Linked DNA regions of Arabidopsis thaliana. The protein of the gene in region 2 purifies or fractionates together with the protein of the main gene of each other region. This does not show direct contact. Each region holds a gene or a part of one and is shown on either strand. Other genes may lie near its edges.

Region 1 (4,793 bases), on a different chromosome or scaffold from region 2:
TAATCCTTTGACTTTCGCACCTGGAAATGGAAGCAAGTTACCAATTTTCTTATGATTTCGAAAGAATAGTTTTTTTTTAACCTATATCAATGAAATCTAAGTAGAAAGTTAGATCCTTTTCATGAGTGATCAGTGATACTACAACACTCGCCTAAAACAGAATTTTTGAGGTATATTGTATGAATCTTTTATGTAAAGGTTCAAACTTGAGATTGTGGTGGATCCAGAGCTGGCCTCAAGGTTGAATCGCCACTCATTGATCATCCTAGTTATAGGTAGAATGTGAAGGCTCTCCAAAGCAAGAACCTGTTGCCTTTCTTACTTTGGTTGCTTTACTTAGGATTTAAAGTATTCTGTTATGCCCTTAGGTTTCTCAGTTGTTCTACTGAAGAGTTTGTTATTCTTGAATCATTGCTTTACATCAATTAAAAATTCTTGTTTGTATTTGTTTGGTTTACATTGTTGCTTTTTTTTTTGGTTACAGGTTTTGGCAGAAGTAATATTTTCTTGTTTGTTTCGACTGTTCTAGGCATTGGCAGCTAAATTAACGTGGAGTGAATGCGATTCTTGCTGGCTTTGAGATCACGTTGAATTGGTTGATTGATATGGCTGCAATAGAAGAACTTCCTACATATGAGTTTAAACCAGCTTCTTCAAGCGGGACTGAAAAAGATGATGCTGTCACTGATAATGTAGAGGCTGGAACGGGAACTAAAAACTGTTGAGTCAAAGAACTTCATCAATGAGGTTTGTCAATGAGATTCTAGATTCTAAATTCGCAGACTTCAAGGAGCTTCAAGCGGTGTGTGATGTAGATATTACTTCCGAGGAATCTGAAAAAGCATTAACAACTCTTGAGAAAGTACTGGCTTACCTTTGCAGTCTGGTTCAATAGGGAACAACTCTTTTATCCGTGAGAATGTAACTGCTGAATCAGGAGTTACTATAGATGTTCAAGTTCTGGATGTGCGGTCAAGAAACAGGTAGAAAGGTCATCTTGTGATGCGAAGTTGCTTATAACGACATACGAGGGAAAACATGACCATGATATGCCCCCAGGAAGGACATTTGCTCACTAGAAGATACTGAAGCAAGGAATTGATGAAGTTAAGAACAAAGATCTGAGTTGTATAGCAGAAGATGCCAATGCGACTCCACAGAGTTTAGCCCTTTTGACCATTACAAAAGGCCAACTTGATGATGACAGTGGCGCTTCAATATGGAAAATCAGGCAAACAAAGACTGATGCCAAATCTTTGGAGTAAATAATAGGAGAATCAGATGAAACCAAAGACCTAGCTGCCAATCAGGACATGCCACAATCAGAACACCAAAGCATAGCTTGTCAGGAGAATGCGGTGAGAACAGTGTCTGTACAACGCTAAACATTTTGTTGCAGGTTTAAGGCTTATTAACATAGATTAGTACAAGGGCAGGGTAAATTATTAGTTGACTGTATAGTTAATTGTTTTGGCCGCACCAGTTTAGTTAGTCCATTATTATATAGCCACCTACATTAGGTGGATTTAAATAAGAGGAGAACTTGTAAAGACAAAGTTGATGTTGATGGATCTCTGTAGTATATCGATAGCTCCTATACTGTATATGACTTGATTCAAGTATGTATTTCCATTACATTCATGGAGACACTTGTTCTTTCACTTCCATGAACAGAATGAACCAATGTTGTTATATGGTAGCACTGTGTGATAACAACGTATTCTAAACAGAAATGGAATCAGCCTATTACTGCGAGTCTGTGACTACATGTTAAGTACTCTAGATTGAGCAATAGTACCAGATTGATGTATATTCGATACTGTAGAAAATCTCAATGCACAGTAAAAGCAGGTTGTTGAAGAAATTTTTATCTCAGACTGGAGTGTAATGGGAGAACAGTACATGGATACTGCTTTGGAATGAAAACATTACATAGAGAAAACGTATAAATGCAAAATCATAGCTTTTCATCTTGCTGTATCTTGTCTTTGCTGTGTCGTTTGAATCAGGGGTTATACTCATACTGGCAAGAACCATGGCCTGTCACAATCATAGCTGGATCAGAAACAGATGGTTCACTATCTACTAAGATTCAAGGGAGAAAGAGAGAGAGGAGAAAGCTTACTGGGGTCAAGCTCAGTGATCATGGCAGCTCCTTTGAAGTAACAAGAACCACCTTTGTTTTTATAAGTTTGGTAGTAACTGTTGAAAGCAAAGGAGGCATGATCTCTGATTGTGTTAGGCAAGAAGCAAGGCTGGTTTTCCTGCTGCATTTTGCTGCAGTCTGCTCCACCTTTTCCGCAAGCCCAGTCTAAGGCTGCTTGCAACTCATCGTCTGGCGTTTGTTCATCCGCTATGCACCATTGTTCCGACTCTGCCTCTGCTTAAACATACACTCACATACATCTGCATAAGGCCAAAAAAGGGACATAGTATGAACATTGCAGTGGTGTTTTTACCTGAACGTCGAGGAAGAGTCATTGCTATGATAAGCAAAGGAAGAAGTATCCTTATCAAGAAAGTTGACATGTTTCTAGAGAAGGCAATGAGTGGTGCAGAGAGATCCAGATCTGATCTATCTAGTTAGGAAGTTTGGGAGCTAAGGAAATGAGTGCAACTTGATACCCTTTATACTAGTTAGAAAGAATCATTAGTCCAAAAGTTCAAGATCTATGACTAGGGAATCTTGGTTTGCTTCAGATGCAATCATGTGCCAGATCTGCATTGGTTTTGACTTTTGAGGAAGATTTTGTTCTGCTTCTGGAAGCTTTTCAGAACACACTGTCATTTATACGCTTCCTATCATGTAATCAAGAGCCATTACTATTACTACACAATATACAAGCTGTTTCATAGTTAAGAGGACAGAGTTTGGGTTTATATATATATAAAATGAATATAATGGAGCTATACCCTAGGAATCTACTATACACACAGGCAGAGATCAATGAAGACAAAGTGTCTATACAAAGAGAAAGATCGGTTTTCGCAGTTTTTCTCACTCAACCAGACGAGGTCTTAAGCTGAAAGAGACCTGTGAAGAAAAATTGACAATGAACTGGTTCTTGCCTTGATCTCAAGTTGAATTGCAGGTCATGGATGTTCAAGATATACTACCCGATGTCAAAAAGCTCTCGGGTTGATATATAATCCTACAAGGGAAATGGCTTTTTCTTTTAACAAGGTTCAAAGAATCTTGCTACCGCTGTGTAGAGCACTTCCTCTTCAAACGGTTTTGATACATAACCATCCATTCCACATTTCATGCATTCTTCATGAGTAGCCTGAATAACATCTGCTGTCATTGCTAATATCGGGACGTGCCAACTACTAAATTTACAGAACATTTCAGCTGAAACTTCTCCAGAAGCTATTTTCTTATTGATTTCCCTCTCCAGCTCACGGACTCTCCTTGTCGCTTCAAATCTGCGCAAAAAATTATAAAGTTACCAAGGACGACATCCAAGAAATGAACAAGCTGAAGAGATAAGATTGAAAAATAGTTATCTACCCATCCATTTCAGGCATCTGGAGATCCATGAAGCAAGCATCGAAGTTATGAGGCGGCTTAAGCATTGCCAATGCAGCTTTGCCACTCTCAACGCATGTAACAATAGCTCCATATTTCTTAAGTGCACCTTCTGCAACTCGTCTGTTCACAAGATTATCATCCACAACCAGAATCTGTTTTTCTCTTAGCAAGTGTCCAAGATTTCTTCGCTGTCTGTTCGGTTGCCTCTTCTTGCCATTGACAAGGGTTTCTTGCAAGCAACATATTAAGACACTCATCCGAAGAGGCTTTATCACCACCTCATCGATGAGACCAGTAGACTTCATCTCACTGCGCTCAGTAAGAGTTGCAGAAGTTGCCAAAAGAAAAATCTTTGGGACTCTTGTAAAGGTTACTTTGCTTCGGGTAAACAACTCGTCAAGTACTGAAAATTCTTCCTTGTTCCAGGCGTCTTTGTCTATTAGAATCATAGCCAAATTTTCTAATTTGCTGCAAAGATTCCAGAACAATAAAACGCTTTTAGTGAACTCACTATAATCTCTAAAGACAGACAGACACTAATGTACGTAAAGTACCTGATACAACAAGTGCATGCCATTCTCAGACTTGAAACAATGTCTGCAGATATTCCCAGTCTCCGAAGTTCGTACCTGGTGACCTCTGCTCTAATGTTTCTGTTATCAATAACTAATGCTCTCAATCCTGTAAACTCCTGAATAGCTAGATCGAATCGTTCCAGCTTAGTAATCGACGTATTTGTTTCTGCTTTCCCGAAAACTCCAGTAAATGAAAAAGTACTGCCTATCCCGGGCTCACTCACAAACCCCATCTCTCCTTGCATGAGTTCAACCAAACGTTTGCTTATACTCAAACCTATGCCAGTTCCACCATAAGTCCGCGATGTGGAACTGTCGGCTTGCATAAAAGGTGTGAAGATTCGGCCTTGTGCATCCACAGGTATGCCAACTCCAGTGTCCTCCACTGTAACTAGCAATTTGATTTGATCAGAATTCTGACTCTCAGTACTGTAACATGTCTTGAAATTCTTCCAGCTTCCCCATGCATTTACCGCAGGAAACCCGCTAACTGTCTCACCGGACTCGCTGCATCCTAAAGCTAGTCGCTGTTTTAGCACTGCGTCTTCAATAGTAAGAGGCTCCTTTACCTCATCTGCAAGGTGCACTGAGATAAATATGTGTCCCCTTTCCTGTGTGAACTGTTATTAAGTAAATAACAAATGAGTACTGTAATAGTAGAGATTCGTGAAGCCTGTTGTTCTGTA
Region 2 (6,323 bases):
GTTAACACTCTCATCGATACTTGAACCCCAAGATTCAATAACGGAGTTCTTCTTCCTTCATTGTCTCCCATCATTTTTATTTAAATTCAAGCTTTACTCTTCTTAATAATTGTTAGAAAGGTAAGAAGAAAAAGGACAAGAAATACAGTAAGACAAAGATATTGTTGTGTAAGATCCGAAAACTCCACGAAGACAAGAGAAAGAGAAAAGAAGTGGGCTTGAATAGAAGAGATCAGACAGAGGAAGAGAATTTATAGGAAATAAATTTGTGGGTGAGATCGCAAAACAAGATATTGTAGGACGTTTGATGATCGAATCCTTTGCCTAAACAGATGGGTACTTTCTGTTTGAATACTTTAAATTTGGTAACAAATCTTTGTACATACACCTCATTTTTTCTGTTTATTGTTATTTTCCTCATTGAAAACACTTTTCAGATAAATTATCTTAATTTCTGTTTATAGATTGTATATAATATATATGGTAACAAATATCATTAATTTTTTTTCGTTTTGTTTTTAATATAAGGTATATACCCAAAGCATTTATTCTTTCACTTTTTTTCCCAGCAACATTTATTCTTTCACTAAATACAACAAATTATAGTACTTATTTTTTTAGCTTTTCTAATTTGGTAAAATAATATATTATCTTAAATTCTTTCATGTACAAAATTGTTATGAAAATAATCCAGGGGTAGTTATCATTTAAATTGCAATTTTTTTAAGTGTTAAACTAGACACAGTTTTTAATTAATTTGTAACACTCGCTCAAAATTAAGCTCTCTTCTTATCATTTTTTTATATATGTTGTGAATTCACATTATTTGACATCGTTAGTTTTCGGAAAAGAAACAAACTCAACTTTCTGAAAACAAAGTCGATACCATCATACCAAGGGGGACTTATCAGAAATTGTAAAAACGTATGAAAATCATGTGATACATTCCAACCTTATTTGTTTTATTTCGAATTCCGACGCATCTTATAAGTTTTCTTGTACGACGCAATTACAATACTAGAAAAGAAATAACAAAAGCACACGTACTGTTATAAGCAATACATGCAAGCATTGTATGACATCTTTCTATGAGACTAGCAAAATTGTAAGAGTTGACGTAATCCAAATATACAATTTTTTTTGTATTTTTAATAAAATCCATTTGTTTCAAAAAAAAAAAAAAAAAATTTAAGAAGGAGATTTGATGATAATAGAGGTTATGAGAGTAAACTTAAGTTTAATGTTCCATAATCACTTATCTTTAAAAAGAAAAGTTTAAGAAACTCTTGTAAGTGATTTCTCTTCTATCTAGTGGCCTGCCTTTTAAGAAAATCTTTTAGACTAGTTCTGCAAACTTCAGAGTAGGTTTACCAATTTTGGAGTAGGTTTAGCAAGGATGCAAGAGTGGACCCAAACAAGTGATCACGAAATGCAATGTTTAATCACTACACCATCAACCACTCTATAACTGATGTTTTGCAACCACGATATCATAAGCACTATTGAACGACTCATTTAACATTGTTCATATTTGAAAACTTGCCTATGAGATGCATAAACACCAAATTTCCAACTTCTCTTTCCTTTTATTCAATCAAACAAGTCTTTTACATTAAAATACAATTAACAGTTTAAAAAATGGCTTTATTCTTGTTTTTCTCAAACATTAAGAAACTTTTTAAATACAATCAGCCGAAAAAAATACAAGAAAAACAATTATATATATAAATCCTCGAAGAGAATTACAAAATCCTTTTAGCAGACAACAGTAGCTGCTCCGGAAGACACAGGGCTTGCAACATCAAGCATCATGGGATTCCACTTCATCACCACTTTATCACCGCATCTTCCATCTGATGAAACTCCGGCAAATTGCATCTGATCTGCTTCAACAGAAGACGGATTTGGTACCTCCAATGTCAACTTCTTCTCAGCTACAGACTTGAGTCTCCGCCTCTCTGCTCTTGACCCAATCACCTGTCCCAAAACTGATGCTGCTATGGTGAATACCATAGCTGTTTTAGGCATCAACACTGACTTTCTCAGTATTCCTATGAATGGAACCGCTGCGTGAAGAGCTATAAACCAAGATGCCGAAAACTTTTCAGTGTGCTCTCTCCAGACCCCTAAAGGCACATTTAACGCCATGCCCAGCATCCCGATCACTAGTACTTTAGCTGGTAAAGGTTGTGGACGGAGGTTCTTGGCGAAAGGTGTTTTTGATATCGCTGCTCGAGCTGTGACTATTGCTTGAGGGCATTTAAATTTCATGCCTGGAGGGGGTTGCAGGATCTTTGCCACAAGTGGTGCCACACCACTTACAGCTCGATATGATTTTGCTATTGGGCAGTTTCCTGTTTTAAGCCATTCGTCGCCCATGGCTTCGTGGTTTCCTCCCTGAAAGAGAAACAACAATTAAGCGGTGCTCTAAGAGAAAAGAAATATCATGATTTTCTATCTCATAAGCCAACACATTGCATACTACTTAAGCAATCTTAGAAGCTTAACTATTTCCTTAGACACATTTCTTTACCTATGCACATCAGTTTTAAAAGATAAATGTTGAGCAAGAAACTCATAAAACCTTTACCTTATTTTTGGATGAATCTGACTTCTTCTTTTGATTTTTAAACATGTCAGAAAATGCATCAAATCCAAAAGGCCCTCCAGATCCAAAGGATGAGAGACTAATAGTGGCCGCCTTAGCAGCAAGTGGATGGAATACAGGCACAGGCTTCTGGGCTTCAGTTCGAGCGGTGTCAGAGAGAGGGACAACTCCATCTTGGCCATGGAAAAGCCTAAACGCCGTATCAAAATTGGGACCATCTTCAAATATAGGTCCTTTCCCAGCTCTTGCCTATATATATGATGAGACAAGATCAGAATCTATAAGAAATGTCAATATGGAGTGAACCAACAGACGGTTACTTACAGGGATGGGAAAAGGCAAGGATGAAGAGAAAGAGAGGTTAGTGGGCTCATTGATGTTCCTCAAGAACGGGCATCGGAGAATGTTCAACTGAGAAGCCATGGGATTTTCTCCAGTACAATTATCCATTCTTGTTGAGCTGAAAAAAGGACAAGAATCTGAACAAAAACAAACAAAGGAACCATATAAGTAATCGAGACGCAGAGAATGCTCGAAAGTTAAATGAGTTATGCAATTTATATGGACAATAGTAGTTACATGCTAAAGAAACATCATCTAAGCTTTGATATACTAAGATAATACCAAAATCTAATTCCAGATCATAGAACCTCAAAGACATTAACAATCGCATATAATTGAATCAAAAGAAATCATTTTTGAGTCATTCTACTCTAGGATTCACACAGAAACTTGCAAAAATCCTCAATAGTTCACCAAAATTAAGAAGAAGCCCAAATTGAAAGCAATCGTGTGGTCGGCACGGGGGTTCATCAAAAGACTCGGACTTTTGAATTACAAAATTCCAAATCAGTAAATATAAGAGTCTAAGAGCACTAGTGATTCAAAGGGAGCTTGACGAGCATCTAAACGACTAAACCCAAACCAGATCTAGCATAAACGATCAAATGCGAGTTCACAAGCACAAATATGGGCAAAAGGGTACATCAATAGAGAAAAGAGAAACAAAACTTACGGATAAGAGATGAGAGGCGTGTGTGAGGAACGATACAATTCCTTTCGGAGATGAAATGAAATATGCTTAAAGGAGAAAAGGTGGATGAGAGGTTAGGTGGTAGTAACGTGGAGAAGATAGATAGAGAATAGAGAGAGATGGCGTTTGATTATTATTTAAGAACAAACCAAAGATAGATAGCTGGTGATAAAACTCTGTACCTGCTTCTTCTTCGTGCTGACCACGCGCTCTCTCTCACAGCCCCACTTGTTTGACAAATCGCACATTATTATTGCAATATGCATGCCTTCTTTGAATTTTTATTCTCAATTTCCCAACCCCATTTTGTCAACATTTTACTTTTCTTTCTGTGTGTTTTTTCTCCTACAAAAATTAGGCCACCAACTTCTCTCTCTCATTCCGTCGTGTTTCCTCCTCGTTGACCGGCGGACCCAGGAAAGATTTTTACCTGAGTCAATAGTTTTTTCGTTTAATATATAAAAAGAAATTTTTTACGAAAAAGTACATAGGGAAGGATTGAACTTGGATAATGGGGGTGTCAATGACACATGATAAACCAACTTAGCTATTATCTCTTTAACAAATTTCATGCATTAAACTTTATTTGTAGATTTAAGGTGTGTCAACTGACCCACCTTTTCTCTTAATGGGTCCGCTTTGACCCTCATATTCCGGTTTTCATGTTGAAAGATTGGATTATGACTAATTTGGTTATTAATTTGTCAAGGGGATGATGGGAAAGTAGGGGTGGGCATTTTAACCGAACCGACCCAACCCAACCGAACTCAAACCGACCCAAACCAAACCCAATCTAAGACTCAAACTATTCGATTGTATTTTATCTCAATCCAAATGGGTCGGTTCGGTTACTAAAAAGGTTTAACTGTGTTTATCTTCAGTACATGTATTCCTCCGCCGCCAACAACTATATTGCTTAAAAACATCAAACTAATTTAAAAACCTAATAATTATTTTTGTCTACAATTATTAAAAATAAATAAACAAAAACAAAGAAACTATATTAACAAAAAAAAAGACTAAAAATAAGCAAAACATAAGCAAAAAGTTAATTATCTTTTAGATAAGAATTACATATTAAATCTCCACATTAAACGAAAGTTGAAAAAAAAAAAAAAATAAGAAAGAGAAAATGAACAAAAGAATGTATGAGGTAAAGACTAGAGCGACACCTCCTTTGAGAATGAGAAGATGATCAAGAAGTTTAAGAGTGAGACACCTGAAGAGACCCAAAAGAAATGCCTTCTCCGGGTATTTTTGTGCCTTTATTATTTTTACCTTATACTTGTAGTATGAAATGCTATCTTTTGCTAGTTATCTTAGTTGTTTTCCTCCTCCTTTAGCTTGTTTGTCATCTACTCTTGTTCTTGACGAATATTTATTTTTGTATTAGTGTTAAGCTTTGTTTCTAAGATGCCAAAACAGATCTCGCCATACTGCAAACTTGTTAAATCGGACTTTATGAAGTTTCATATATAGATGTACATGGTAGTGGAAAATTCAAGGATTTATATGTGAGACTCAAACCCTATTCCCACCTATCCATAATTGAACAGATGTCCAATAACATCCTAAATTGCAAGACAAACCCTAATCCTAAAAGGAAGAAAATATTCTGAACCTAAATTCCATATACCCACCCGCTAAATTGTTTTGTACGTAATCTGCTTTTTACTACAAAAACCAGTCTTTTGGTCTCTAATTGGTCAACAACACAAAACTTTTTCCCATTGTTTATTTTTATTTCATTTGTCGCCAAGTTTTAATCATCATTTCAAAATATATTGGTTATTTTGAATCGTTTTTCTTTGATTAGTTTTACACGAAAACTGTAGATCGCAAATTTGATTCAAACTAATTTCAACGTAAATTTTATGTATGATTTGTTTTACTGCCTATCTTTAGTTTTTAAAGTTCTTTACTTATATACCAATAATGAGATTTAAGTACACATCAAAAATTAGCATACACAATATACTTTCAAATATGTTATTTTTAATGCATTGTGTAGTAGTGAGTAATGTAATAAGTTTTAAGGAAAATTTAGTGATGAGACTTTAGTTGATAGTTTCTATCAGTTACTATATAAACGACATGTTGCATTGCAGCGGCAGCACCTGTAACCTCTAGTGTATTTTCTCCATTGACTTTAAAGTTCAAACAAGTATATACATATGCATATGAAGTAAAAAGTATTTTCATATCCTTAAAATCTGTTAAGTATATTTTCATACGCGAATAAATTATAGGATTAATTCATATTCAAACTTCAAAAAATTTGAATTTTATATCTGGACTTTACAGTTACTGCACAATTCAAAATCGTAAATAATGGGTAATAGTCAACTGTTACGGTTGCTGAGTCAAAATAACACGTATTTGATGCTATAACTTAAAAACGACATCGTTTTAAGAATTGAAATTAAATTTTTTTATGATGTCTCAACCCCACCACGCTTTCACAATAATTGTCGATAAAATGATAATGAACGCATAAATGAGTGAAAACTGAAACGTAGTGGATTCGAGACCTGATTTTTATAAGATTTACTGAAGGTTTTTATTTTTATTTTTTCTGAAGTTAGTGTTTTTTAAAAATAAAAATAAAAATAATAATAATAATAGAAGTGTTAATAACAGACAAAACAAAAAATAAAAACCCTGGCCCATAGGCAAAACAAA

Evidence for each region. Proteins that work in one complex are often made in the same cells at the same time.
Region 1: the proteins of AT4G25030 (region 2) and AT5G35740 purify together in Arabidopsis thaliana (affinity purification with mass spectrometry, with the first as the bait; one large-scale study listed by BioGRID). This does not show direct contact.

What each region holds. Positions count from the first base shown.
Region 1 is NC_003076.8:13,908,567-13,913,359, forward strand, and holds AT5G35740 (Carbohydrate-binding X8 domain superfamily protein), read right to left. Parts: upstream 2,660-4,793; 5' UTR 2,530-2,659; coding exon 2,460-2,529; intron 2,381-2,459; coding exon 2,126-2,380; intron 2,041-2,125; coding exon 2,006-2,040; 3' UTR 1,746-2,005; downstream 1-1,745. Other genes in the region: HK2 (histidine kinase 2), read right to left, coding at 3,177-3,426, 3,512-4,000, 4,087-4,727.
Region 2 is NC_003075.7:12,862,071-12,868,393, reverse strand, and holds AT4G25030 (Serine/Threonine-kinase), read right to left. Parts: upstream 3,943-6,323; 5' UTR 3,624-3,942; exon of another isoform or gene 3,365-3,623; intron 3,088-3,364; 5' UTR 3,059-3,087; coding exon 2,933-3,058; intron 2,858-2,932; coding exon 2,591-2,857; intron 2,398-2,590; coding exon 1,756-2,397; 3' UTR 1,567-1,755; downstream 1-1,566. Other genes in the region: AT4G25040 (Uncharacterized protein family (UPF0497)), read right to left, coding at 1-74.